Linked DNA regions of Stegostoma tigrinum. The main gene of each other region encodes a partner of the protein of the gene in region 3 in a complex. Links are inferred from orthologs where the notes say so. Each region holds a gene or a part of one and is shown on either strand. Other genes may lie near its edges.

The links.
Region 1: fbxl13 (region 3) and drc1 share a complex: the UniProt entries of both Homo sapiens proteins name them as parts of the nexin-dynein regulatory complex. The link is inferred for Stegostoma tigrinum from reciprocal best matches to the Homo sapiens genes FBXL13 and DRC1.
Region 2: fbxl13 (region 3) and efcab2 share a complex: the UniProt entries of both Homo sapiens proteins name them as parts of the nexin-dynein regulatory complex. The link is inferred for Stegostoma tigrinum from reciprocal best matches to the Homo sapiens genes FBXL13 and DRC8.
Region 4: fbxl13 (region 3) and gas8 share a complex: the UniProt entries of both Homo sapiens proteins name them as parts of the nexin-dynein regulatory complex. The link is inferred for Stegostoma tigrinum from reciprocal best matches to the Homo sapiens genes FBXL13 and DRC4.

Annotation. Positions count from the first base shown.
Region 1 is NC_081357.1:129,135,616-129,143,497, forward strand, and holds the start of drc1 (dynein regulatory complex protein 1), read right to left. Parts: upstream 3,001-7,882; 5' UTR 2,867-3,000; coding exon 2,745-2,866; intron 1-2,744. UniProt on the Homo sapiens protein: Component of the nexin-dynein regulatory complex (N-DRC) a key regulator of ciliary/flagellar motility which maintains the alignment and integrity of the distal axoneme and regulates microtubule sliding in motile axonemes.
Region 2 is NC_081362.1:86,343,358-86,350,676, forward strand, and holds the start of efcab2 (dynein regulatory complex protein 8), read right to left. Parts: upstream 3,024-7,319; 5' UTR 2,428-3,023; coding exon 2,403-2,427; intron 1-2,402. UniProt on the Homo sapiens protein: Component of the nexin-dynein regulatory complex (N-DRC), a key regulator of ciliary/flagellar motility which maintains the alignment and integrity of the distal axoneme and regulates microtubule sliding in motile axonemes.
Region 3 is NC_081378.1:23,973,330-23,981,137, reverse strand, and holds the start of fbxl13 (F-box and leucine-rich repeat protein 13), read right to left. Parts: upstream 3,021-7,808; 5' UTR 3,000-3,020; coding exon 2,925-2,999; intron 1-2,924. UniProt on the Homo sapiens protein: Substrate-recognition component of the SCF (SKP1-CUL1-F-box protein)-type E3 ubiquitin ligase complex.
Region 4 is NC_081369.1:39,927,626-39,934,534, reverse strand, and holds the start of gas8 (dynein regulatory complex subunit 4), read right to left. Parts: upstream 3,017-6,909; 5' UTR 2,896-3,016; coding exon 2,893-2,895; intron 1,683-2,892; coding exon 1,590-1,682; intron 1,279-1,589; coding exon 1,081-1,278; intron 1-1,080. UniProt on the Homo sapiens protein: Component of the nexin-dynein regulatory complex (N-DRC), a key regulator of ciliary/flagellar motility which maintains the alignment and integrity of the distal axoneme and regulates microtubule sliding in motile axonemes.

The DNA.
Region 1 (7,882 bases), on a different chromosome or scaffold from region 3:
ACATCCACTGGCTCCCCTGCATCCTTCCTGCTTGTTATCTCCACAAAGAATTATCATAAATTTGTCAGGCATCATTTCCCATTCATGAAGACATGCTGTCTCTGCGTGACTATGTTACATACTTATTTGAATAATAATTAATTACTTAATAATATAAATTATCAGGGCAGCAACCAGACAAATACTTGAATCCTATCATGGTAATAAATGCTTGTTTTTAGAATAAACTTATTTTCTGCTGAACTGAACAGCAATAGATTGGTACAGGAATCAAAGGTTATGGGGAAAGGCAGGAAATTGGGCAAGAAGTGTCCAATTAGCCATGATTCTACTGAATAGCAGAGTGGGCTCGAGGGGTCAAATAGCCTACTCCTTCTCCTATTTCTTATGTCTTACGATTATAATCTTAAATGTGCCAAAACAGAATTTATGCTGAGGGCAATGGAGCTGAAAGTGTTTCAGTTATTTAAGGGTTACATTTTCAGTCATATTGCAAAAGGAAATGGGACGCATGAACTCAGGCTAAAAGCACAGCAGCTACGCTATCAGCAGTCAGAACAGACATTAAACAAAATAATAACAATGTCTGTAAAAACTGTGGGTAATAGCAAATAATAATAGGCATCAAGAGGGTTGGGGAGGGCATCAAGAGGGTTGGAGGTAGCTGGAACTCACCATTTTAAAGTATGGTAGAGATGGAAACAGGAGAGACATTTAAGAACTGTTTCGATGAACCAAATGTGAGAAAATGAAATTAGAATAGATGGAGGTTTGTTAACTGCTGTGGACACGTCAGACTGGAAGGCCAATTTCTGTGCTGTAAGAACTCTGTGACTCAATTAGCTGGATAAAGGAATGTGAAAATTGTGCTCTTTATACTGAAATGCTTTCTATAAATACTGAATTAATATTTATGACCGAATGTAATAAGCTTTACAGTTCATTATGTTAAAGCTGGTCCTCTGTACGTAGGTGTGAAGTGAACAATTAGAACATACAACATTACAGCACAGTACAGGCCCTTCGGCCTTCGATGTTGTGCTGACCTGTCATACCAATCTGAAGCCCATCTAACCTACACTATTCCATGCATATCCATATGCTTGTCCAATGACGATTTAAATGTACCTAAAGTTGGTGAATCTACTACTGTTGCAGGCAAAGCGTTCCATTCCCTTACTACTCTCTGAGTAAAGAAACTACCTCTGACATCTGTCCTATATCTTTCACCCCTCAATTTAAAGCTATGCCCCCTCGTGCTCGCCATCACCATCCTAGGAAAAAGGCTCTCCCTATCCAACCTATCTAACCCTCTGATTATTTTATATGTTTCAATTAAGTCACCTCTCAACCTTCTTCTCTCTAACAAAAACAGCCTCAAGTCCCTTAGCCTTTCCTCGTAAGACCTTCCCTCCATACCAGGCACCATCCTAGTAAATCTCCTAAACACCCTTTCCAAAGCTTCCACATCCTTGTTATAATGCGGTGACCAGAACTGTAACTTGATTTACAGCATCCTCTCATAAGAGGAAGTGGAAGGTCCAACAGAATTAGTGATTGAATGCAGAGATACATTCATTGATTAAGTTCATCTTCCATATTTTGTTATAGACCAACAGGTAATAATCGTAGACCTAACCAATTTGGTTCACAGCATCAGAAGGACACACAAGATATGGCAATGCGATGATATGTGCCTTAAGAGGGATTTGCTCGGTCCTGTTTCTCTTGGGAAGGGTGTTGTAAACCTGGCTGCTGCATCGAAATGTGAGTAAATAGCTTTGTTTTTTTTTGCAAAAAAGAAGCTTGAATGTGTGAAGTCAGGCTCACATAGACCCAACGTTTTAAGGTTGGTTGGCTCGGCGAGCTGGTTTGTTCTCCTGCACATGTTTCGTTACCATGCTTGGTAACATCGTCAATGCAGCCTCTGATGAAGTGTCAGTGTGTTTTCCCGCCTGGCGTTTAAACTCAGGGGTCCGTTGCAAGGGATTGCCTCACTTCCAGGTTTTCTCCGTAGTGGAATGTATTTGGGGCCGAGTTCAATGTGTTTATTAATAGCCTGCTTTGTGGAGTGCCATGCTTCCAAGAATTCTCATGCTTGTCTCTGTCTAGCCTGTCCCAGGATCCTGGTGTTTTCCCAGTCGAATTGGTGGTTCTCCTTGTCCACGTGGATTGAGATGAGTGAGTATTGTTTGTGTCTTTTTGTAGCCAGTTGGTGTTCATGTCCTCTTGTTGTTAGTTTCTCCCTGTTTGTCCAACGTAGTGTTTCTCACAGTCTCTGCAGGGGATCTTGTAGATGACATTGGTCCTGTCCATGGCGGGGAGTGGGTCTTTAGTTTGGGTGAGCCCTTGTCGTAGGGTTGATGTGGGTTTGTGTACCACTCTGATGCCCAGCAGTCGTGGAAGTCTTGTGGTGAGTTTTGCTGATGTGTTCCTGACGTAGGGCAGTGTGATGAGTGTGTCCGGCATGTAGAATCTTTCTGATGCTGTTCCTGTAGGTATCTCCTGACCCAGTTCTTTGGATATCCATTATCCTTAAACACTTGGAAGAGGTATTCCTCCTACCCCCACACTCCCGCCCACACACACACACACCCACCCATCCACCTCCCTGCCCCACACACACCCGAACACATCCACCCCACATTCCCCTCCCCACACACACGCCCACCCATTCACCCAAACACCTCCACCCCCCACACACACCCAAGTACATCCACCCCACATCGCCGCCCCCCCCTCACCGTCTCTTCTCCTCCAGCCGCTGGGCAATCCGAATGCGGCGGGCGGCGATTCTCTCCTCGGCGACATCGGAGTTGACGTTGACGGCCGATTCATTGGCTTGAACGATAAGTGTGTCCGACATGGTAAGCAGCTGGTTTCCCGCCGGGGCTGCGGAAAACGGTAAGGACCAGAGCGGGAGCGGCCGGTACCCGCTGGGCCTGCGGGAGACGGTAAGGAGCGGGAGCGGCCGGTTCCCCGCTGGGCCTGCGGGAGACGGTTGATGCCCGTCGCTAGGAGACGGCGGTCGCCAGGAGACCGTGACGTCACCAAGTTGCCTGGCCGGAGAGATAGAGCAACACAATCCGGCCACAATGATTTAGGCTTGAAGTAAGAGAAAGGGGGGTTAATGAGCGAGTCCTTTAGAGAGCTGACAGAAAGGCTTTAAGGTAACGTACACCTCCACTTCCCCACAACATTCTAAAATTGTTTAAAAACTTTGTATGGCTCTAGTTTATTGAGAGATAGTGGGAACTGCAGATTCTGATAAGAAAAGGTGTAGCAGGAAGGCTGACGTTTCAGGCCTAGAGCCGCTCAGGGAATGAAAGGACCATTAGCAATACTAAGACAAAAATGGGTGACTTTAAACAGAATAGCAATTGTTAGTTGCTCAGTTCAAGAGTACAGTCTAATAGGGGAAATTAATTGTATTAATGATTTGAGTCCAGTGCAGGGGAGAGGTTGGAAGCGTTGTAGGCAGGGAGAAATAAGGAGGGGAAGGTAAAGGAGATGATGTCTCAATTTTCTTTCTTCAAAGCAGCATAAAATGAATTCTGAAAGGGTAGGGGAGGAGAAATGGATGCTTGTAACGACACCTATACAAAAAAAAGGTTAGGCTTTGGAGAGCAAGAACTGGAGCTGCTGGAGGCAGACATAGCACAGCATAGTGCTAGGGGGAAAATAGAAGAAGTCAGGTAGAATAAGAGGAAAACTGACGTATTAAGCAGTGCTACGGGTACCACATTTTTAGCATATGAACACAAACTGCTGAGGATAGTCTGTACTTTTCCGCTATTTTCTTTGATTAGTATTTTGAAAATTTCAAATCATTACTACACCAAAGGAAGATAGTTAATAAAAGGAACCCTACCAAAACTAGAGTAAAAAGGTAATCAGGAGGAAGTTATACCACTGTTAGAGTCGTAACTGAGCACGTGATAGGAAGGTAATAAAATGAGGCTGGATCAACACAGCAGTCTCCAGCATCTGCAGTTCCCATTATCACGTGATAGGAAGGCTTTGGTTAGTGATAGTCTTCTCAGCTCTAGGACATCTCCCACGAACTCCAGTAGAGAAGAGAAAAGCGTCCTCAGCCTCGCCATCATTAGCTGCTTCACGAGGATGGGAGGGAGAGTCACCAAAAAAAAACAAAAACTTAGGGATGCTTATTAACTAGTGTTCAGCCCCATTCATGACACCTCCAGCAGATTTAGGCCATACCCAAAAGGCAACAAGATTTGGGCAATAGCCATACTACCACTGGACCATCTCCAATAACCACCAGCCCTTGACATTCAATGGCATTACTATGTCCAAAATCTCCCATTAGTCAATAGTAATCCTCAGGCTACTGTTAGCCAGTTGCTACGTAAAACAGGGGTTACAAGAACAGGTCAGATGCTAGGATTACTGTGATAAATCACCTTCTGACTCATCACATTCTGTCCACCATCTACAAAAAAGGCAGAAGTCAGGGGAGATGGAACACTCCTGACTTGACTAGTGTAGTCCCTCAACCATTGATACTCAGTAGCAATATGTTGTCTCAAAAAGATGTACTGTAGATGTTCAAAAGATTCTAAGACAACACCTTCCAAATCTATGACCACCACCATGTAGGAGATGTTTAACAGCCCCTGCCCAGGCTTCCACCATGAAAACAAAAGTGGCATTAATGGGAATTAGAACTACAGATCAAGAGCTCCTGTTAATTAGTATGGCCAGTTGCAAAAAAAAGATGCGATGCACCAGGAACAGAGCACAACATCCACAGTACAAAATTCAAACTAATAGAAAATTACTACTGAATAGTTCAGTAAAATCTGTTACAGTTGGGGGTATATAGAAGTTATGCATGTAGTTTTATTTAAATCAAGTTCAGGATACCCCTCCCCCTCCCCACGATGACAAATCTTAACATGCTTTACAATCAAGAAATTTTTAAAAAGGGTGTGAAAAGGGTTTTTTTTTCAATAAATCATGTAATTTTGAGTACTTCAGTTATCAGATTGTATGAGACAATATAAATCAGACCACTTTTTCCTTCAGTTTTATTAAATATTCAATGTTTATCCTTACAATAAATAACTTGGTAGCATTTTACAAACCAAAAACCACCACTGGACCTCATCCAACAGCAGTCATACATTTTTATTCCGATGGTCACAGCAGAAGAGGGATTCTACATTAGAGATGTACTTAGTGCACTACTTCAGGTGAAATAATGACCAGTAGATATGACAATGTAGCATTCTCAATAAATTCAGTTAAAAATGAGACTGGTGAGTGATATGTCAGTAATCTGACCAACTGAATATAAAAAAAAACTTAGACACAAGAAAGCTGTCAAATTTGCACACAGCATACCAGATGAATTACTTCAGGTACATTTTTAAACAGCTTTCTGGGAGCAATAATATGCATACAACAGGATTGTGAACTTTGTACTTAATCATGTAGATCATTACTTCATCTGAAGAAGACAGCACCTAAAAAAGTGTTTTCTTTTAATAACTTAAAACATAGACCAAAAGAGAACAATTATCAAGAAAGTGTACCTTACAGAGGTTGCAATGCAAGTGAATCCTATTTTACTGAGTTTTGAACAAGTACATTAGCATTTTGATTATGAATCAGCTCATTTGGGGATTACAAAATCATGCAATGTGTCACAATAAAGCCTTGTACTTCTTGACAGTAAGCTAATTAAATTTTACAAGTACTAAGCTGCCGCTTCATGCAGTTCTGTGAATCAGCATACACTTGGTTTTCAGCACCAAATTTGCTCAGAGTGCGTACGCAGACCTGCATACAGAGTTTAGAATGAAGTGCATGTGCACAGCTTACAATATTTCTTTACAAAAATAACAAAACCATAATGATTGGGGGGGGGGGGGGTGTGGAAAGGCAGGCAAGGGCTTTTTAAATGATCTTTATAGAATTAGTACCATTAGGTTACTGATTCCACTAATCAGTCATCCCATTGTTATTCTAATAAAAAAGGTAAAAATGAGGTAGACTGGGTGTTTCAAGTAAAGGCAGCAAGGAATTTCCCAACTTGCTCTTCAAAAATGTTTCCTCATTAACATTAATATCAAGTCAAGGCATATTAGATATTTAGTCATCATGAAACAAGATTAAATTGTGGTCAGTTGTAGTGAAATATTTCTGTACAATAAATCAATTAGTGTAATCAAACAAAACCTTAATTTGAATACTATGATCATTTAATTATTCAGCTGCAGTTTTAAATGGTCCTATTACAAACAAACAATATAATTAAGTCACAAGGTAATGTTTTGCCAGTTTGCCACAAGATCATAACCAGAACACTACTGGAATGTAGGCACTTTCAAATTCTGCCCCTTTAGAACAGAGGTTCATAACTTTTTTTCACAAATGTATCTACAAAAAGCCAATTAAAAGCAAATTAAATTCAATTGTGCAAAGGATGACAGAGTGCACTGACAATACCAATTAAGACAAACAATTAAATATTACATGTCAAAAAAACTTGTTGCACCCAAGAATAAACTTCTGGTTTCAAAAAACAGTCATCCCACAAAAAGAAAATAAGGTAGGTCTTCCTCCGAATGAAGGAACCTCTAATTAGAAAGTGAAGCAGTTATTCAGTTTCCTCCCTTGTGCCTTTCATCACATTCAATGACACTTGCTTGCTGATTTGCAAATTATGATCAACGAAAAAGGAAGTATTTGTGGCGATCCTGTTGTACAAAGCAAAATATTTTCCTCACCCAAAACATTCAGACAAATTTGTTTTAGTTATGAAAATCATTAAGTTACTTCTGGCAACTCTCATGTACTTTAGAGTTGGCATCTACTATCACAAGTTGTGTAATACTGATGAGATATTTTAACTTTTATTTAAAATTAGGAAGGTGACCTAAATAAGGGTATTCTCAAATATTATGTATGCAAAAATTCAGCTAATCAGAGATCAGAACTCAGACAAGCAAAGAAAACAAAGGCTTTGGCATACCCATGCCCTGCACTGTCACAGAGGGATGCAAATGATGAGGTGGTTGAGAAGTTTGGACCAAATCCCTCCCAATTTTTAGCAATTCAAAATAAATGTTAGTAAGTCTTAATTAAAATGAGATTTAAAACATAAGAGGAGATCAAAACATGCATGAAAATTTGTTACTGATGATGTTCATATGCCACACTAAAATTAATTTAAAAAGTGAAGTGTGTGTATGATAAATCACAGACGTCTTGAAATACCCAAGATTGGCAATAAACAATTTGAAATCAATTCTATCAGAGTGTCTTCGAGGCTGTTTTAGATGATGAAAAAAGTTGCATTTAAATCAATTCAATAACCAGCTAACAAGTTCATTTCACTTTTATTGTTAAATCTCAGCTAACAGGTAGTGATCAAAATTTAAGACATTCACAAGTTTTAAATCAAATTATGCAGTTCTGTCAATGTTCTCCAAAAATAAGCTTCACCTAAAGGCATCTACAAACTATAGTGGTATTTTAGGCTTACAGGAAAGAAAATTCATTGTTTTAACATTTAAGATTATTACTTCTTTCTCAAAGTGAAAGCACAATCTCATCCAATAGTACTCAAATTGGTTAGTGACAAGGAAAATTCACTAGATTTTTAAAAAATCTAGACCAACCCCGAACTGCTTGATGCACTTTTAACTGTCATCCAAGTGTAATGAGATGGCCCATCTTTTTCCATATCCCACCTGTTCCTCAGTAAATTCATTGTGAATAAGAAAATGGGCAACCTTGAACATTCCGTATCAGAAGGAAACTCAAGGCAGTACAATATTACTGAATACATCTAACAGAAAGAGTTAATCTGAATAATTAATTGTTTGGACAAGAGATTAAGTAACAACAATTG
Region 2 (7,319 bases), on a different chromosome or scaffold from region 3:
TTGTTGATAGCATTAAAAGACAACATGTTCTGGTCTTTGAAATAATTCCAAACTCTTCATCAACACCATTGAATGGGATAATAGTGATTTTCTTTTTGGCAAGATTATAAATCCCCACAGAAGTGACATGATAAATTGCTTTTTATTGCTTTGGGAATAGCATAGCTCTCTGTCCTTAAGGTTCTGGTCTCTGATTGTTGTTCAAGAAAGAAATTGAAAATGAATTGCATACTACCAGCAAAAGAGGGAATAAAATGGCAAAATATAAAAAGCGAATTTTAATATTTCATGTACTCTTTTCTTAATAGCAGTGTAGAAATAGTTTTTGGTAGTACAGAACCTGAACATTGCCTAAAAAGGACACATTATTTTCAGGTTTTTCATTTTGCACTCCTCAGGACAATTCACAAGAATATTGGAAAATAAGGGAAAACATTTATACTGAATGATGAGAGTGCTGACTGGTTGGCAAGTGGATTCTTGTTAGCAAAGACATTGCCATGGAGAACTTACCAGTTAGATTGTGACTGACAATTAAATGCCAAGACATGTTTAAATTTTAAATCAGGCAATATTACTCTGATTGGTCAAGGCATTTGCCTGAGAAATGAACCACAGAATGGATGTCGCCAGCATTCTCTCTAATTTTTTTTCTGACTGCATGAGCCTCCAAGCCGAATATCTGAAAGGTTTTATCAACAGGTGAAGCAAGCTTTTGAAAGTGGTATCACAAATGCCGTTCACCACTAACAGGATTCTGCCATTAAGCTAAAAAGATGTTTTCCCTGTTACACAAATGAATAATGTGGTAAATGAATTTCAGTGTCAGTGTGGTGCTAGCTATGTGGGCCATGTGTCCTCAAAGCTGGAAAATTATATCAAACAGCAAACCACTTTGGCTGTTGCAACAAATAAGACTGTAATCAACCAATCAACCAGCCCACACTTGCAAAATTCAAAACATGGTGCCAAACATTACATGTGACTCTGCAAATGGACAATATTTGCTACATGATCCTGAATGTGCAAAGAATTATACTGTCAAACATTGTAGGATCATTAGAGATAGTAGGAATTGCAGATGCTGGAGAATCTGAGATAACAAGGTGTAGAGCTGGATGAACACAGCAGGCCAAGCAGCATCAGGGGGGCTCCTCTGACGCTGATTGGCCTGCAGTGTTCATCCAGCTCTACACCTTGTTATTGTAGGGTTATTAGTTGGTTTGTGGCATATGTATGCAAACTGGAAGCTAGAGGGTGCTGGTCTTTGATGCTGGAATATGGACATACACTGTGCGCATTTCAACTGAAGAAAATAGATGATGGCCATTCTCTGGTTCATTTCTCAGGAATATGCGTTGATGAATCAGAGCTAATTTGCCTGGTTTAAAATGTAAACAAATCTTGGTAGTTAACTGTCAGTCACCATTGAACTGGCACATTCTCCATGGCAATTCATTCATTGGGAGACCATTTGCTAATCAATCAACAGTCCCCTCTCATACAGTACAAATATAGTTTCTCCATTACATTGGTATTCTTATGGATGTCACTGGTTGGTGCTAGATAAAACATTTCACAAAAGTGTCCTTCTTGGCTGTACTCAACGTGAAAATTGGGCGTATTTAAATTAAAAGTTAAATTTCATTTACAAATATGATTTTAAAAAATCAGTAAAATGGTGTTTTTAAAAGTACAGCTGCTGGTAAAACAATCAATTTCCTATAAGAATAACCTCCTAGTTAAAAATTCTACAAATCTGACATGAATTATGGCAAATAATATTCACTAAATTGTTCCGAAGAAGGATCACTACTTTAACTCTGCTTTCTCTCCACGGGTGCTGCCAGATCTGTGAGTCTCTCCAGCATTCTGTATGTTCATTGCACTAAACTGTGGCTAGTCAAGCTGGATTTTAAATAAACTCATTTGTCGCCATTCATGCATTTTTGAACAAATATAACGTTTCTGTTTATAATTCGGAAAAGATGATTTTTTTCAATGTGTCGCTCAAGTGGCAGGTGACTCGCTGATATTGATTTCAAAACACCGTGGATTTTAACGCCTCTAGCTTTTTTTTAAAAAAAGTAAGCTGAGGCTCCGCTAGTTTTAATGAAGACGTGATCTTTTTGACAGAGAGCAAAACAAATCACTAGGGGGCTACAGCTCTCCCTGTCTACAAATGATGGGTTAAAATTCTTTCCACATCATCGTCCTCTCAGAACAAAGACCAGAGGTCTCCAGCTGAGCTCCATCTTGAATCTGGGCGGAAAAGATTAAGCTGGAATTAAGCTCCGGGCCTGAAGAGTCCCTTGTTGTTGATGGGTTTTCTATGTGTGTGTCTTATGGAGGTTGCACCATCACCATCGCCATCGCCGACCTTTATCCAAGCTGCTGCTTACCTGCCGCTTCTTTGTCGTCGGCCATATTGTTTCGGATGGTTGCTAAGGAGCGCAGTTGTCAAGGCGGTTGTCAATCGAAGGGAAAGGATGGGGAGACAATGTTGGAGAAATCCCGGTCTCCCTTCTTCTTTTTGCAGCTTTGACGATTTTATATCAAAGCGCTGTTTAACAGATTCGTTGTCTGTAAAATCTCTTTCCTTTAAAAATCTGTTTGAAATCCCTTGAACTCATCGAGGTCTACTGCACAGATAAGGCCCTCTTGACCCTCGGTCCATCCACTCAAAAACAAGCCCCTACCTGTTCTAATTCTATTTTCCCAGCTCTTGGCCCTTAGCCTCGTGTGCCTGGGCACTGCAATTGCACATTTAAATTCTTCAGTGATGCAAAGATTTCTCTCTACCACCTTTACAGGTAATGAATTCCAGATTTTCAACACTCATGGTTCAATAAGGTTTTCCTCACATCCTCTAAACTTCCTGCCCCTATCTTAAATCTATGCTCCCTGGTTATTGATCCCGCCATCAAATCTACAATCTCTTATCTTTATGTCTGCTTCTTAATTGCTGTCTCTCTTGCAATTGTTTGTGAGTGCCATGGAAGGTTTCACTATGATGAAGGCAAGTTGCGTATAAATCCGAGTTGTTGATCTTGTTTTTAATCTTCTATCTTAATGCAGGGAAGGAGGGATATAAACATACATGTGTATTGAAACCCAGACCTAGTGTAGTATTTCTGTCATGATTTTAAAACAAAATGTATTTTTATCCTTCAAATTAAACAATTGTATAACGACATATCTGTACGATATCTATCAGATATATCTGTATATCTGTAACAACATACAGCATCTTTAATAACTCATCACAAGATTTTCACAGGGGCACTCTGAAACAACATAAAAAGATATTAGGGCAAGTGACCAAATTTTTCTCGGTCAAGAAGAGGTAGAAAGAAGGAGTGCCTTACCCTTAAAGAAGAAAAAAGAGCTGAAGAGACAAAGAGGGAGGTAATTCCAGAGCTTAAGTTCTTGTTAATCAAATTCTGAACCACAAATGGTGGAATGGTTAATGTCTGTGATTTTGAAATCCAGCATTAAAGGTGGGTCAAGGTTGCAGAAGGTAGTGAGGTTGAAAAAGATTACAGATATAGGAACAAATCTATGAAGGGATTTGAAACAAGAATAAATTTTAAAGTCAAGAACTTGCTTAACAGTAAACCAGTATAGATCAGTGAGTGCAAGGTTGATGTGATAACAGGATTTGGTGTGAGCTAAGATACAGGAAGCAGAGTTTTGGATGACCTCAAGTTTAGAGGGTAGTCTGTGCAAGAGAGCAGGTAGGAAAGAATTATTCAAATATAGAGATGAGAAAGGAATGGATAAGAGTTTCAACGGCAGGTGAACTCCTGAGTGATGAGTGAAAGTAAATGGTCTAAGTAATGATATCACAGTATAGTTGGAAGCTCATCGTGGGTTCTAATATAACACCAATGTTGCAAACAGTCTCATTCAGTCTCTAGAGAGGGGAATTGGGATCTTTGGCTAGGGAGTGAGGTTAGTTAGCTCATCCAGTACTAACGTAATCAAGAATTTAAAGACATAGTGGGATTGGAAGAGTTTCTGGTGAGGACAGCTGGATGTCATCAATACATCTGGAAATGAATGTGTTTTCAGGTAGCGTTGCAAACGGTATCTTGAGTAGGAAAGTTTTAAGAGAGGCCTGAGGATAGATTATTGCAGGTCACCAGAGGTAATGGTTTGAGAGTGGAATTAAAAGCTGATTTGACTTGCTGGCTGCAACTATTTAGATAAATTTGGAACCCCGTGGGTGAAGTCCCACCTGTTCACATGACAGCAGAGTCATCGGAAGAGGACAGTTAAATCAACTTGCATGGAAGTCTACAGAGAGATTAAAAAAGAAGATAGAGCATAGTTTAACATTGTCACAGTCATACAGCCCTTCACTTATAACTTTGATGAGATAACAAGGTGTAGAACACAGTAGCGCAAGCAGTATTAGAGGAGCAGAAAAGCTGATGTTTTGGGTCTGGACTCTTCTTCAGACCTTCCATCCTCAGACCTTCTATTTCTGAAGAAGGGTCCAGACCCGAAACATCAGCTTTCCTGCTCCTCTGATGCTGCTTTGTCCTGCTGTGTTCATCCAGCTCTACACCTTGCTATCTCAGATTCTCCAGCATCGGCAGTTCCTACTATCTCTAACTTTGATGAGAGTTTTTTTTGATATGGTGTGACAGAAATCTGACAAAGGAATTCAATCATAGCGATCTAGGAAAGATGGATCTTAATTTAGGAGATGGCAACAGTTCCTCAGACAGCAGAGAGGATTTAAAGGAGATGGGGACAGCATCTGAGGAGGCAAAATTGTTCATAATATTATCTTACATAGGAGCCAGGAGAGAAGCTGGGTGGTCAGCAGTTTAGTGGGAATAGGGTTGAGAAAGCAGCATGCAGTTCTACAGGACATCATGGGCTCAGAGAGGGCATGAGGAAAGATATGAGACAAATATGGGACTAGAATAAGGTCAGCTTTACAACATTTGAGAGCATCCAGCTGTGCCCCTGTAGTTTATTTTCTATAATTTCTAAACTGTTCAAATTACTTCAACTTTACCCAGCCTTTGAATTCACATGAATTGCTTACTGTCCTTTTTAAGATAACAGCTCCTCCTTAACACGTCGAGATCCTATTATCTTTTCACCATGGATTTACAAGAAGAACTGCCCAGGTCCCAGGCAGAAGAGGATCTTGTGAAAATGGCAATTAGGAACTTCATTCAAATGCATAAGGAGGTAAAGGAGCAGCAGGCAGGTGATGTGAGGCAATGGCCCTTGTAGCCCAGACGCTGAAGAGCTGCAGCTATGCTATGGAGGTCTTTGCTACCTTAAGATCGTCTGCCTGCCTCTATACATAGGATGATAGTTGCCATGAAGAGCAAGCTGCAACACTCACGGTATGCTGGATAGCATATTGGACTTGCTGTGTATCAACCAAACCATTGATCCTCAGGACTGAAGGCAAAGTCAAAGGGATCGGGGGAACCTTGACCTTAATCCAGGTGCCCCTTCCTCCAGGAGGCACCCTGCTGGAGGAGAAACCACACACGAACCCCTCAGAAGTCTTCAATGAGTACAGCCCAGAAATGCTGGGTCTTCCAGCCCAACCCCGCCTGTGCCTCTCCAACCTGTGAAAGTTTGAGTCAAGGAAGATGCATTTGCCTCTAGCAAGGACACAGTCAGCTTGTTTGGGCCCTCTAGATACAAATGCCCCCAGTGTCACCTGACCAAACCTCCAAGGCCAAATGGCTGCAGTGTAGAGCAGGCTCCCTCTACCCAGTTGTGGCACCTGACACTGCATCGAGATGTAACAGGAAGGAAAGACATGTTGATGGCCTGGGTGACATAACCCTTAATATTAAGCCTCATATTTTTCATAGATGTTAAGATTTTTGCACTAAATCTGTATGTTTCAGTCTCTGGTCTACCCATGTAGCAAAATGTCCACCCTTGTCAGAAGTTTGATGACTAACAAGACAAGCTGCCTGGTTCTGTAACTATGCTAAGAGTCATGGCAAGGCAAGAATGTTGTGATGATACATGTGAGTGTTAAATGAGTGAATATTATGAAAGCAAGTGAACAACTCTGAGATGCAGAGATAATGGGAACTGCAGATGCTGGAGAATTCCAAGATAATAAAATGTGAGGCTGGATGAACACAGCAGGCCAAGCAGCATCTCAGGAGCACAAAAGCTGATGTTTCGGGCCTAGACCCTTCATCAGAGAGGGGGATGGGGAGAGGGAACTGGAATAAATAGGGAGAGAGGGGGAGGCGGACCGAAGATGGAGAGTAAAGAAGATAGGTGGAGAGAGTATAGGTGGGGAGGTAGGGAGGGGATAGGTCAGTCCAGGGAAGACGGACAGGTCAAGGAGGTGGGATGAGGTTAGTAGGTAGCTGGGGGTGCGGCTTGGGGTGGGAGGAAGGGATGGGTGAGAGGAAGAACCGGTTAGGGAGGCAGAGACAGGTTAGACTGGTTTTGGGATGCAGTGGGTGGGGGGGAAGAGCTGGGCTGGTTGTGTGGTGCAGTGGGGGGAGGGGACGAACTAGGCTGGTTTAGGGATGCAGTAGGGGAAGGGGAGATTTTGAAACTGGTGAAGTCCACATTGATACCACATGGCTGCAGGGTTCCCAGGCGGAATATGAGTTGCTGTTCCTGCAACCTTCGGGTGGCATCATTGTGGCACTGCAGGAGGCCCATGATGGACATGTCATCTAGAGAATGGGAGGGGGAGTGGAAATGGTTTGCGACTGGGAGGTGCAGTTGTTTGTTGCGAACTGAGCGGAGGTGTTCTGCAAAGCAGTCCCCAAGCCTCCGCTTGGTTTCCCCAATGTAGAGGAAGCCGCACCGGGTACAGTGGATGCAGTATACCACATTGGCAGATGTGCAGGTGAACCTCTGCTTAATGTGGAATGTCATCTTGGGGCCTGGGATAGGAGTGAGGGAGGAGGTGTGGGGACAAGTGTAGCATTTCCTGCGGTTGCAGGGGAAGGTGCCGGGTGTGGTGGGGTTGGAGGGCAGTGTGGAGCGAACAAGGGAGTCACGGAGAGAGTGGTCTCTCCGGAAAGCAGACAGGGGAGGGGATGGAAAAATGTCTTGGGTGGTGGGGTCGGATTGTAAATGGCGGAAGTGTTGGAGGATGATGCGTTGTATCCGGAGGTTGGTAGGGTGGTGTGTGAGAACGAGGGGGATCCTCTTAGGGCGGTTGTGGCGGGGGCGGGGTGTGAGGGATGTGTTGCGGGAAATACGGGAGACGCGGTCAAGGGCGTTCTTGATCACTGTGGGGGGAAAGTTGCGGTCCTTAAAGAACTTGGACATCTAGGATGTGCGGGAGTGGAATGTCT
Region 3 (7,808 bases):
CCTGTAACTCACCTAATCTACACATCCCTGTATACCATAGGCAATTTAGCATGGCCAATCCACCTAACTTGCACATCTTTGGACTGCGGGAGAAAACTGGAGCACCAAGAGGAAACCCACACAGACATGGGGAGAATGTGCAAACTCCACAGTCACCAGAGGGTGGAATTGAACTCAGGTTCCTGGCACTGTGAGGCAGCAGTGCTAACTGCTGAGCCACCATGCCACAGCTATCCTGCCCAAGTATTAGCCTTTATGTTCTGTGATTTCTCAGGGAATGTCAAAGGAACCCAGTCGGCGTACAACTAGCTTCTAGCTTTTGGTTAGTGCCAACAAACATGCAACTACATGTGTATTGTCGAACAGCATTAATAAAATGATTTCTGAGTTATGTGAGAATTGACTCTTCTCCCCCTAGTCATGATCGCCAGGCTCCAACATTGTGCTGAAGTTTTTCAAACATTTTTGTCATACAGAAAAGCATTTTCATTACAATAAGACAATGTATGATGTTAGAATCTTTTCTTAAAAATTGCAAATCAAGTTTTATTACAAATCAAAGATAATGGGAACTGCAGATGCTGGAGAATTCCAAGGTAATAAAATGTGAGGCTGGATGAACACAGCAGGCCAAGCAGCATCTCAGGAGCACAAAAGCTGACGTTTCGGGCCTAGACCCTTCATCAGAGATGGTCTGATGAAGACCCTCTGATGAAGGGTCTAGGCTCAAAACGTCAGCTTTTGTGCTCCTGAGATGCTGCTTGGCCTGCTGTGTTCATCCAGCCTCACATTTTATTATCTTATTACATCTTATCAAGTTCCCTTGAAAAACTTGCCTGTAATTAAATTTCAGAAAATACAAACCCAATCCCAGAAGCAAATGAAATTCTGTCACAAAGTAATTCTAAACAGCTAGCAGTTACACAGATAATTGTGACTTCATAATTCTGAAAAGATATTCATTTGTGCTGGCTGTAGCTGCCTTATGGAAATATTCTGGCGACTATCGTGATAACATGCTCTTTCATCATTTACTTTAATTTTAACTGCTACTCACTACAAACTTAAACCAAAGAAATCAACTTAATTTAAAGAGCGAAGTTTCAAATTCCAACCCAAAGACACAAACACCAAATCTAGACAGTATTAATTCCAATGTATTACTAACAGCACTCTGAAGGTCTTGTCTTTTATGCAGCATGTAAAGTGGAGATCTTATCTGTCTTCTCTGGTGAATGTGAAAGATCCGATACTAAGTACAGGGAGGAGTGTGCAGCCGAGGTGTGACAGTACTGGATATGTGAGAGCAACATACCTGCTCCATTGCGAGCAAGGACTTGGACTACAGGTGTTGCTACATTTCATGTTCTCTGAATCTATGCTGCAGAAATCATCCGATCCAGCTTCTATCTTATGTGGATACCAATGGTGGATTGTTTCTGAAGGGATACCATATGCAAAATTCTGGATAGAAATGGGAAAAATGTACCCAAAATCACTCTACCTGTCTTGTGTGTGGCTACATGAAGCTGTGCGCACAAACAACAAGTGTCATTACATGCTAAGATTCTACCTGTCCCTGGCATTGCAAAACATGGGTTCTGGCTACGTTGTGACATAAAGCTCCAAATTGTCAAACCATAGAATATAACCTGTCCCTCATGGAAAAATTATACGGAAAAGCATGTTGACCATCAAGCAATGGTCAGCATGTAACATACTAATGACCATATGAGAAAAGGAGATAGTTGATCCTGTCAGATGGTTTCTGAGCAGAAATGTCAAAGTTATTTAGTAAGATGGGCACTGCCTATCAGATTGTTCATTCATGCATGATTGAAGTCTCTGCATTCCACGCAATCCTTCAAATGGTTGTGGTGACTAAGAGAGCATTGCAAATCTCCTTTTGGAATGTGCCCTTGCAAGGAAGATCTGGGGATAGATAGTGATTTTGTTAATGTAAATCCTGTGCAGATCTATAGTGCAGAATTTTATGTTCCACGGGTTGTTCTCAGGAGGCACATACTGAGGCAAAGATCATGATGAAAAGCACTTTCTCGTTCTGTCCAAATCCTGGTAGCATTCCAATGCAAAAAGTTATCCTCAACAGAATGTTCCATATGGACAAGTTCCAAGGTCCAGGGTTATACGTTAAAAATTGCATTAAGCTTGTAGTGCTTCAAAACCTTTCGCCTGCAGTGAAACAGGGAGCTGGTGACTTACAGGACTTCTTGGGCCGTATGCTTGCCACTGAATGCATAGAGCAAATGTCACGCGCATTGGGTTGAGACATCTAAGAATGAAACATGTTCAATGGGGGGAAAATTATAGTATACAGCATTTTCATCAGTATCCAATTCGAAATATTTTGGAATGAACCTTTGAATATTTTACGAAATTATTAGTGCAACATTAAATCTTTTTTTTCGTGATGAAGAGCTCCAAATTTTCTCCAGTGTTCTGGCGATTACTCAACCTTCAGCAATTAAATACTGAGAAAAAGAATTGGTTGTTCGGTTACACTGCGCTGTTTGTGGAATCTTACTGTGCGCCAATCGTCTGCCTTTTCCGGCCATTACAATAGTAACTATATTTCAAAAGCATTTCAACGAGTCGACCGAGAGTCGTTGGAGGCACAATACAAATGCGTGTCTTTTATTAATGTCTGAATATGTCGAATAACTATAATTAAACCTGCTAATGTGATATAAACGTGTAAGTGCTAATTAGTTGTCAGATGGCGGCAGTATAATTTAAACTTTTACGTAGGTGCTTACTTTACACTGGTTACAGTGATTTCGTTCAGTTTGCTGTGACTTTTTCCCGCATTATTTCTATCCGGCTGAACGCTGGACAAACAATATTTCCAACACACGTACCAAATGCAAAGCGGATTTTTTAAAAAAGAAAAGGCAATGAATTACCTCATAAATCTGGGGGAGTGAATGTGATTTGATGTAGTCTTTCAACACGGGATCTGCGAACTTTAAGAACACCATAGCAGCAGCTCGAGCGCAGCTTCACTGTCAGGCGAAAGCGCTCGTGAACACCGCCTGTTTACTGTCACCATAGTAACAAGCTTTGAAAAGGAAAGACCAACCGCCACCGCAACGGCTCCACAGCCAGAATTCCGTATTTAGAGATTTCCAATCTTGGTGACGGGCTCTTTTACCTTTTTAAAATTCACAATCCCTTTCAAACGCACCTACTCAACATGTATCACCCCCCCCCCCCAGGGAAAATCCACAGTTTATTCGAGATAATAAAGTGTGGAGCTGGATGAACACAGCAGGCCAAGCAGCATCTTACGAGCACAAAAGCTGACGTTTCAGGCCTAAACCCTTCATCAGAGATCAGTTTGAGAAGACTCCGACATAGTTCAAATGCACGACGTCTGTGCTATACTTCCTCGCTCAACGTTAGACGCTACGGAGGCAGATCTATAACTTGCAAATCAGTCGATTGGGATAAGTAAAATTTGAAACAAAATCCATTACTGTCCGAAATAAACTCTCATCGGCGTCTGGAGAAAATAAATTAGTCCACTTATCAGAGCCGATTTGATATATTGTAAATTCAACTTGGTTAGCACGTCTAACAATTGGCCTTAACCACAATGAAACATTTCTGACAAAAATCACGAATTAGGCAAGTGACTCCCTTTGCAGCTTACTTTACAATGCACTGTAGATGCGTAACATAGTAGCCCACCGCATGAAAAATGTCCAAATTTCCTTATTTATTAAAATTATAGTTCAACAATGACATTATATGGTAACTTTTACAACAATCCAAGTACTGGCTAACACTGCGGAAACTAACTTTATATTCCAGATTTTTTAAAAAACAGTCACAATGATGGTGATCATGAAATTATCATTGTTGTAAAAACCTATTTGATTCATTCATGTACTTTAGGGAAAGAAATCCACCATTCTTGGCTGATCAGGCCTGCATAGGACTTCAGACCCATAAAAATGGGTTATTCTCACTTGCCCACTGAAGTGACTTGCAAGCCACACAGTTTTTACTGTATTTACAGATGGGCAACAAACATCTATGAGAGAATAAGAAAAAAAGGCAATTAATGCTGTGCTTTCTATCTGTATTCATTTTTTGTACTAAATCAGCAATCTATGACTGGTAACATTTATAGAACAGACATTCCAAAAGTTGGCAAGAGGTGGCAAAATTCAATTCCACCAACACTTAGAGAAAGGTTTGTTGCAAGGTTTTCAATCAACATGTAGGAGCTCAAGGTTACAATTATTTTAAGAAGGAGACAGATAAGAAAAGAAGCATGCAATGTGTTAAGCAGTGCGGTAAAAGGCAGCTGAACTACCCAGGCTTTGTACAGTAAGGGCTCAGGGAATTCCCAGAGGAGTCGAATAGTTTTGTGTGGTGAAGGCTCCCAGACGTTTTGGGAGCAGAGCGGGCTCAGAAGAATCCACTTGCTATGAGACTGCTGAGCCAATAACTGTTGTCAAGGGAGGTAACTGGGCAACGCCCACCCGAGGGAAAAGACCTTTGTTATTCGCCTTATCTATGCCCATCATGATTTTATAAATCTCAATGATATCACACCACAACCTCCTACACTACAACAAAATCTTTATACTCTTCAAGAGATTCATTTGATCCCAGTTCTGTATATCTAATATATGATTTTTTAAAATTCTTGACCAGAAGCTCAATATCTTTATTCATCCATTGTTTCCTAATCTTACCAGTCTTGCCTTTCACTCTAACAGGTACATAATACCTCTGAACTCTTGTTATCACACTTTTGAATGCCTCCGGCTTGTCAGTCCTCCCTTTGCCTATCCCAATCAACTTTTGAAAGTTCTTGTTACATACCCTTACTCCAATTATTAACTTTAACTTCTATGGAAGACTTATCCTTAACTATTTTAAAACTAATAGTGTTATGATCATTGGTCCCAAAGTGTTCCCCTACTAACAATTCAGTCACTTAACCTGCCTTATTTCCCAAGAGAAGGTCAAGGCTTTTTTATTCATTCATGGGAAGGGTGTGTCGCTGGCCGGCCACCATTTATTGCCTGTTCCTAGTTGCCCTTGAGAAGCTATTGGTAAGCTGTCTTCTTGAACTGCCGCAGGCCTGCTGTTGTGGGTTGACACACAATGCCATTAGAGAGGGAATTTCAGGAATTTGACCCAGCAACAGTGAAGGAATGGCAATATATTTTCAAGTCAGGATGCTGAGTGGCTTGGAGGCGAACTTGAAGGTGGTGGTGTTCCCATGTATCGGCTTGACTTTTAGATGGAAGTGGACATAGGTTTAGAAGGTGCCATCTGAGGATCTTTGCTGGGTTTCTCCTTCTCTAGTAGGAATATTAAATATTGATAAAGAAAATTTTCTTGAACAAATTTAACAAATGCTTCACCATCCAAACCTTTAACATTATGGCATTCCATGTCAATGTTATGGAAAAATAAATCCCCTATGATTACAGCCTTATTATTCTTACATATATTTGAGATCTTGCTACATATTTGCTTCTCAATTTCTCTGTGACTGTTGAGGAGATTATGGTACAATCTCATCAAGGTGATCATCTCTTTCTTAATCCTAGTTCAACCCATATGTTTTCACTAAATGACCCCTCAAAAATATCTTCTCTAATTACAGTCGAAAGATTTCTCTCCACCAAAAATGTGATTTTCCCTCCTGTCTTGCCTCTCTTTCTATCCTTCCTATAATATCTAAAACGTGGAACATTGAGCTGCCAGTCCTGTCCTTCCCTCCGCTAAGTTTCTGTAATAGCTATGATGCCTTCATTAGCCTCACCTGTAAAACATGTTGCATCAAAATAAATGCAGGTTAATTCTTCAGAGTTACTTTGCTCTCTGACATGCTCTTGTCTAATTAGCTTAGAGCTTGGGGAGAAAATAAAAAAACCTTGGGCAGTTTGAGTTTGTTGAAGTTCCTTTGGTAAGGAGCTGGAATTATGCTTTTGAATGAGTAGTGGAAGGCAGTTTCATGGTTGGAAGGTGAGGAAAGTGGGATGCAAATGCAGGAAAGGATGATGATTGACCAGAACAGGAGCAATTGTTGAGGCAGTCTATGTCTGAATGATTCTTGAGAGGGAATTCCAGGGCCAGATCAGCAAGAATCCATAATTGTAACCCCTTATGACGTATAATGAGATTTGGAAACCCAGTGTGTAATTAACATCTGTAAGGAATTGTTGAGAAATCCATGGTATCTGTCTGGATTGCATTTGCTACTTGATGTTCGTTGAGGATATGCGATCAAAATAGCTTACCCCTATTTATCACATGTTAATTTTGGGTGTTAGAAATAAGCCGAACATATTGTAGATTGTATCACTATTCTAACATTGTATAGTAAAGTTTATGGTCGTTATTGTGGAGTCTTGTGGCCTTTTTCTCAGAATGAGTCCCCTGGATGTCACATATTGTCCATGTTGAAAATATAAGTTACAGGTCCTTAGCCAGATCATGACATAAACTTGACAGTCTGGAACTGGATCATAGCAGTATCATTAAGTAGCGTGCAGCATATTTCAAACTAAATGAGCAAATAAAATAATAACCACAAGTGGAATCATTGTCATACCAACATATAGAAGGTCCAACAATGGACGGTGCTGTGTTGGACATAGTTCTGGGAATCGCAGCCGGACAGGTGTTTGAGGTAGCAGTGTGGGGAGGGGAGGTATTCAAAAAGGATTTGGGGTGAGTATAGGCTCAATATGTTCCCTTTAGGGTGAAATGAAGGAGAAACAAATCCAGAGAACCCTGGACATCTAGAGATATCCAGAACTGTAGAAGAAGGAAAAGAGAGGCTTTTAGCAGGTGCATGGGAATAAATGAGCAGCAGCCATGGTGGAGTGTAGAAAGTGTGGGTGAAACTTAAAGTAATGAGGGGAACAAAAGGGGTCTTGAAAAAATATTGGCCAGTAAGGCTGGGGAGAATCCCAAGGTATTCATTAAGTATATTAAGGGGAAGAGGATAACCTGGGAAAGAGTAAGGCCTATTAGGAACCAAGAGGGCAATCTGTGCATGGAGCTGGAGGACATTAGTAGAGTATTAAATGTACTTCACATCTGTCTTCACTAGGGAAGAGGAAAATATAGGTACAGAATTCGGGAAGAGAGAATGTGTAGTTCTTGAGCATTTTGATATATGGAGTGAGGAGGCGTGATAGATTGGAAAAGGGGATAGTGTAATGACCTGAATAAAATTGTATACAGGTTGCTGAAAGTAAGCAGGCAGGTGCAGTAAGCAGTGAAGCAGCCAAATGATATGATGATCTTCATTGCAGGGAGGATTTGGTACTGGAGCAGGCATGTCTTGCTGCAATTACACAGGGTCTTAGTAAGACTACACCTGGAATTTTGTGTGCAGTTTTGGTCTCCTTATCTGAGGAATGATGTTCTGGCCATGGAGAGAATGCAACAAAGGTTAGACTGATGCCTGGGATGGTAGGATTGTTGTATGAAGATAGACTGAACTGGTTAACACTACGTTCACTTGGGTTTAGAAGTATGAGGGATGATACATACATACATACAACAAGACAGCACAGAACAGGCCCTTCGGCCCTCATTGTTGCGCCGACATCCTTCCTCTCGCAAGGAGACCAAAATCGATGGCAGTATTCCAAAAGCAGCTGAATCAATGTCCTATATGGCTGCTAAGTGATCTCCCAACTCCAATCCTCAATGCACTGACCGATAAAGGCGAGCACACCAAATGTCTCCTTCATATCCTTTCTACCGGTGGCTGTACTTTGATGGAACTACGAAACTGCACTCCAGCG
Region 4 (6,909 bases), on a different chromosome or scaffold from region 3:
CAGGATACTGATTGTGGATGATCAGCCATGATCATAATGAATGGTGGTACTGGCTTGAAGGGCCGAATGGCCTACTCCAGCACCTATTGTCTATTGTCTATTGATATGAAACTATAAAACTATACCAAGAGAAAAAGAATGGGGATCTGAACATCTGAAAACATGTTGGCAAGATTATAACAGACGATAACGAAAAGGTCTTTTTTAATGGGTACGGTACTTTGTGAAAATGATACAAGGAAGGAAGAGGACAAAATACTAACATTGTAAGGGTTTCTATAAACTAAATAAAGGGGAGAAACTTCATCAATTGAATGTAAGTAAACAAAATGGTAATGGAGAAACTTAGACTAAACATAAAGTAAATGTCCACTCCAGCATATAAGAAGTAGCAGTGAGGAACTTGCACATGTATTAGCCATCATTTTACTATAATACTTAGATTCAGAAAATGTGCTTTTGAAATGGAAAATTACAAATGCCACTCCTTATTCAAGAAGAGATTGTAGTAAACTTGGCATTTTCAAGATTTAAGACTGAGATTGAACAAGGAGATTACAATGAACATTTTTTTGAAAATACTCAGTCTGCTTCAAATGGAGCATTATTTCAAAGTCTGGTTATTACACTTTAGGAAGGATGTGAAGGCTTTGGAGTGGGTGTAGAAAGGATTGACATGAATAATTTCAGGGAAGACAAACTTCAGTTAGACAGCTTGGAGAAGCTGGAACTGATCATTTTAAAGACAGAGGGATTTGGTAGAGGCATTTAAAATCGTAAGCGCTTACTTAGAGTAGATACAGAGAAACAGTTCCATTGGAAGAAAATCAGATTATGCCAATTTAAGGTGATTGGCAGAAGAAATGCACAACCCAAGAGTTTACAGCCTTTCAAAATATTGCAGGGCTAAGGGGAATAGCAGGAAATGGAAAAAACAGTTACTATGCAGAAAAACATACTGGAAGTGGAACAAAGGCAGGTAAATAGACCTAAGATATAGACCAATGATGATATAACTGAGTACTGAAATAAGTTTGGGAGATTGAACCAGGAATTATATTACTGAATTAGGCTCCTTACTTTAATTTCGACCTGGTGTCGTTCCTCTGCATCCTCCATTTCTCGATCTTTGTTTCTTAACTCCGACTTCCTCTCCTCCAGTTGCCTCTTAGTGATCTCCCAAAATGTGTGAATTTTGTCTCGTTCAAGTTGAAAGTAATTCCGTTCTTCTCGTTCTCTGTCAAGTTCTTCACGCAGCCGAACAATGTGTTCCTCCAACTGTGTATGGTCAATAAAGAATAATTAATTTTTCAAATGAAACCCCTGAAACATGGAAAACTTTATAAATACAGAATCCTATCACACAGCAAGTTACTTAGCTCGTCCTAAAAGAGCTATTCAATTATTGCTGTTTTCTCACACGCCTCCAATTCTATTTTTCCTCTGGTTCTTTGCTTGATTACATAAAATTCAAAGGTCAGTCACATCCTTGGACTAGCTCAAACAACCAACTTTTGGAACATATTGATCAATCTGCCACAGACATCATTTGTACATAGTCTTCACTTTCACAAAACAGATGTACTTGCCTGCTCCTTGGACATTGCCTCTGTAGAAAGGCCATCGATCACCGTTGGCGTTTTTGCTTTCTTGCCTCCTTTCCCTTTCTTCTTTTTGGGTGGCTGTTTAATGGAAAACCTTAGTTAATATGACATTCCTTTTGCAATACACAATGAAATGTAATGAAGCCTCTTAGTAAGGTTGGTAATGTTAACACTAAAACCAAGAATACACTTTGCCATGACCATACTGTTACGGGGCTGAGCAGTTTTTGCTTCTTTTCATACTTTTAACAAAAGATTGGTTTGACTTGCTGCTTGGCCTGCTGTGTTCATCCAGCTCTACACTTTGTTATCTCGGATTCTCCAGCATCTGCAGTTCCTATTATCGCTGATATTGGTTTGTCTTATACTGCCACTGATAATTTTGCAGTGTAATCAAAAATCTGTACATTTTTGATTAAATGGAAATAGTTCTTCCTGAGCAGGGGTATCTTGCTATGAACCTGTCCAGGAATCCTTCAAGCGCAGCAAGAGAAGATCATCAAAACCCATTCTGAAGTTTAAATGTCCAGCTGACATTTAGAAGGCTATTGTGAAAGGCTAAGTATGTGATTAGAATATCACATAAATGGGTGAGTGTGTAGGGCAGTCCAGATGGGTCAGGACAGGCAATGGTGTGGTGGGCTTGGATCGCTGGGTTTTGGGTCTGACGGGCCATGTTGGACATGGACGTTTTATGTCTGGGTGAGTGCTGGCTCCAGTGGCATAGGGTGATGGAGGTGATAAGAGGGGAAATGGAAAGAAAGGCAGGTAGGAGGCAGGTGGATAAAGTGTGGGGAGGTGGCAGGAGGGTAAGGCGATTTGGGAGGGAAAGAAGGAGTAGACGAGGGGGATTTGGGAGGGAAAGGAGGAGTAGACGAGGGGGATTTGGGAGGGACAGGAGGAGTAGACGAGGGGGATTTGGGAGGGACAGGAGGAGTAGACGAGGGGGATTTGGGAGGGACAGGAGGAGTAGACGAGGGGGATTTGGGAGGGAAAGGAGGAGTAGACGAGGGGGATTTGGGAGGGAAAGGAGGAGTAGACGAGGGGCATTTGAGAGGGACAGGAGGAGTAGACGAGGGGCATTTGAGAGGGACAGGAGGAGTAGACGAGGGGGATTTGGGAGGGACAGGAGGAGTAGACGAGGGGGATTTGGGAGGGAAAGGAGGAGTAAACGAGGGGCATTTGGGAGGGATATGAGGCGGGTTTGGGGGGAGGGAAAGGTGCGAATCTGTCCGCATAAGCCTATGTGGTTCTTGTTTGAACGTTTCTGCTCCATAACGACACTCACCATCTTGACGATGCCGCTGCTCTGAGCAGTTATTCCTGAACCGTCTATTTACCACCAGCACCATGGAAACGGCAACCAAATGCCGCGAGACTCGATGTGCGCTCGGCGGGGCTGGACCGGTTGTCTTGGGGGAGGGGGGGAGCCGATGGGCCAGATGGGCGGGGCATGACGCTAGCGGGGGGCGTGTCCCGAGGGAGGGGCGGAGCTCGGCCTGGGGGAGGCGGGGCTGGTCCCGGGGTGGGTGGGTCTGGAAGTCGAATTCGGGAGATGGAATCCAGTGGAAAAGGCTAGTGCAAACTGTGGATCTCAATTTGGGAAGAGGTTTGGGAGCCTTCATTATTACGGGAAAATAATCTCCTGAAGGCTAGAACAAATATCCAGAACTTTTATCGCATTAAATGTCATGTAGGGATATTTGCAAAAAGAATAACTGCAGAATTAGTAATTTATAATCATGCTACTAATAACTGATTGGATTATATGGGTTCCTGTAATAGTTACTGATATAGAGCTCTAAAGTTTAAAGGTAGATTGTGTCTCAGATTTGTAATACTTCCAGTTCTTTTTTATTTTATGGTGATATTTTAAATGAAACATAGTTTCTTGTGATCATTGGCCAGCATATATTGATAAATAAAATATGATGTGGAGGTGCCAGTGTTGGACTGGGATGGGCAAAGTCAAGAGTCACACGACGCCAGGTTATATTTGAAATGACAAGTTTTTGGAGTGCTGTTCTTTTGTCAAGTGAAGTCCTGACATATAAATAAAGTGAAGGAAGGTGATAGTAAAGGGTGACACAATGGTAAGCAGTACCAGGGGCCAGGGTTCGATTTCACCCTCCGGTGACTGTGTGGAGTTTGCACATTCTCCCCATGTCTGCGTGGGTTTCCTCTGGGTGTTCCGGTTTCCTCCCATAGTCCAAAGATGTGCAAGTTAGGTGGATTGGCTGTGCTAAATTGTCTGTCGTATGCAGGGATGTGTAGATTAGGTGGGTTATAGGGGGATGGCTTTGGGTGGGATGCCTTGAAATTTGGTGTAGACTTGTTGGACCAAAGGGCCTGTTTCCCACAGTTAGGATTCTATAGTCCACAGCCTGTTGGAGCAACAGCATTATGTATCTGAGATGGGTAGATTAATAGTCTGTAGCTACAAAGAGCACATGCTGATTAGAATATTTTGGTGGTGTCAAACGAAGAGTCACTGAGAGCCAGAAGAAAAGTAGGGAAAGGTAATCCAGGCAGGTATCTTTTAGTCCCTTGGGAGAAATTTTCTCCATGCCTTTTACGCTAGACACATTGTACAGCACCTCCCTAAAGTAGTATGGGCAATGAGAAAAAATTGTGAAGGTACGCATGAATGAAAAAAATTGTAAATTTGACATTTAAAAAGTTCCCAATTTTCCCCTTATGCTTTAAATGGTGACTTCAGAATCTCGTTACTGAGTGGAGACTTACCTTTTCTCCATGCATTTACATCTCATTAGCCAAACTCACCTAATTTTATGTCACTTCCACTTCTTCTCTGACATACCTTCATGTTGGGAATTCAGCCATGAATTCCCAACATGAAGGCCGGAAAAGATGGCAGCTGATTGCTTATCCAACTGTCATCCATCTCTGTTTTCACCACAACATGCCTGCACATTCCACAGACACTATCCACTCTTCTTCCAAACAAGTGAGCATCAGCAAACCAACCGTCTTATCACCATACTTCATTTCAGTCCAACTTACAATGCTACAGCCCTCCAGGATTTGATTCTGGAGCACAGGTACTGTTACAACTTGCATGATTCTGCAGGTCACCTTCCGTGCAAGGGCACACACATATGTAAGGAATCTAAACAAAATTCAGCTTACAGATCTTAATATCATTTCTTAGTGCTTACTTACTTTGTACTTATATACTTGGAGGCTACCAGCCTCTGTGACTTGTGTTGGTTTTAGCACATTTGTTCTTCAGTGCTCACTTGGAGACTGCCAGCCTCTCGTATTGCTTTTTGGTATAGAACAAGTAGTAGGCAGCTTGTCACGAATGAAAGCACTGAACAGTCATGGGGATGGATATGTTGCTGTACAGCACCATGCTACATCAATGTCAGACCTGCAACACATGCTAGCAGCTTGTGGGGCAACAGTACAAATGCTTCAAGTAAATGGTCATATCCGAAAGTCAAAGGGGTCTACAGTCAGGGGTAATGCCACAAAGGTCAATGGGATTGTCCAATTACAATACAGAGGGTCAGTCAGGGTCAGGGAATCTGATTCTTTGCAGTCCACGGTCAATCTTGCAGCCAAGTGGAACCAGTCTGGCGTTACAGGTATGTTTAATCAGGGTGTTGTAGAGGCATCAGTCCAGGTGGTTGACTGTACTCTGTTGGGGCTGTTCTACCAGGGTAGTTGAAGGCAAGGACCTTGGACAGTCCTGAAGGTTTGTTCCAAAATGATCAGTGGTGTTATCAGGGAGATATCCCTGGCCTTATACCTGGAGTCCTGGGGAAAGTGGAAGCACAAGTCCGCTCATGGCTTCGTTGGGATGGGTAGCAGTGAAAGGTTACAGTGAAAGGGGCACTTTGAGATAGTGTGGGATTGGATCTCAAGGCATAGGCAGGGACAGGAGCTCTCGGAAGCATGATCGCAGGGAGTATATCCGAAAACTGCTAAAACAGGATTTGCGTTCAAAAGGAATAAATGAAAACCCCATTCCAGTAGCTGTCATGGTTTCAGATCCTCTGAGTTTTAATGGCAGCAGCTGATTTCGAGGACCAACTGGGGACCTGTGGGACATTTCCCAAACCTCAACCCACACATGGATCTAGAGATCACTGATGCCATTTTCTCAAGATCACAACTGTTTATATTCTTTCACCAGGAAAGAAGTGTTAGGCAGCCCAGTTAGTGGGATTTTCCACCATTACTGATTTTGCCCAGACTGCACCCATGTTGCTTTGAGAGCATCCTACCACCAGTCCGCAGAATTTAATTAACAGAAACGGCTTCCATTCCATCAATGTTCAAATTATAGATGGCCAACCATGGTGGATTTTGGAGATCTACACAATAATCATAAAAACTTCCATGAGTATTACATATTGGAGAACTCACAGGTTCCTGCATCCTTCTTAAGTCCTTGGGCCATACGTGGATGCTTGAAGGGACATAAGGGCTACCTTCTTTCAACACCTTTACAAAACCCTCAGATTTACACAGGATAAATAAGCTGAGCTTGGACTTCCTTTAACTGTTTAACGTTTTGTTGGTTGCTTAATGTAAAGGACAGTTGGACTTTGTTACAGTGACAGTCCTGGACCATAATTGTTGCTGAATAAATGATTCATTGTCCATCTTGGAACACTTGCTACCTTTTGGCCAGCCTCACTGAACTGTGTCATCTGCTGGAAGAGCATAAAGTATCTACACATTACACATCCTACTGTGTCTTAGAGCAGAAAGCATCAGTCAATCAGACTTTATAGGAACATCATGGTGTTACAAGTTAAGTAACTCTTAAGGCTTCTGTCAATGTCCGATATCCAGTGTTGTGCTGCGAAGTCTCTCAATGATAGGCAGCAGCTTCAGAGGAATCCTGAGGCCTCACCTTTCAGCCTTCCATCATCGGTTACCATTCAACATTTCTGAATGCACAACAACCACTAGGTTACCCTGCAGTGTTTCAGCATCTTTAGGACAGTGTTGAATGTGTAAAAGGCAGTACTTTATGAAACTTTTCTTGGTAGGCCAATGAGGGAGAATGAACAAGTGAAGTGTACAGCTTACAGCCTTCCCTTGAAATACACTCCCTTGAAAACCTGAAACTTAGAAGAGCTTTTCCCTCTACAGACATATCAGACATCATGGATTCCATGCTTGTAATCACAAGGTGGGTGCAGAATGGAATGAAATATGCCATCAAGGCCCTGGGGCTATTCCTGCACATTGTGCTTCACCTTAGCATTCAAAGATCCCTTCTGTTTGATGCTACTTGCAGTCAAGAGTCAGTTACTTGTGAAAGATC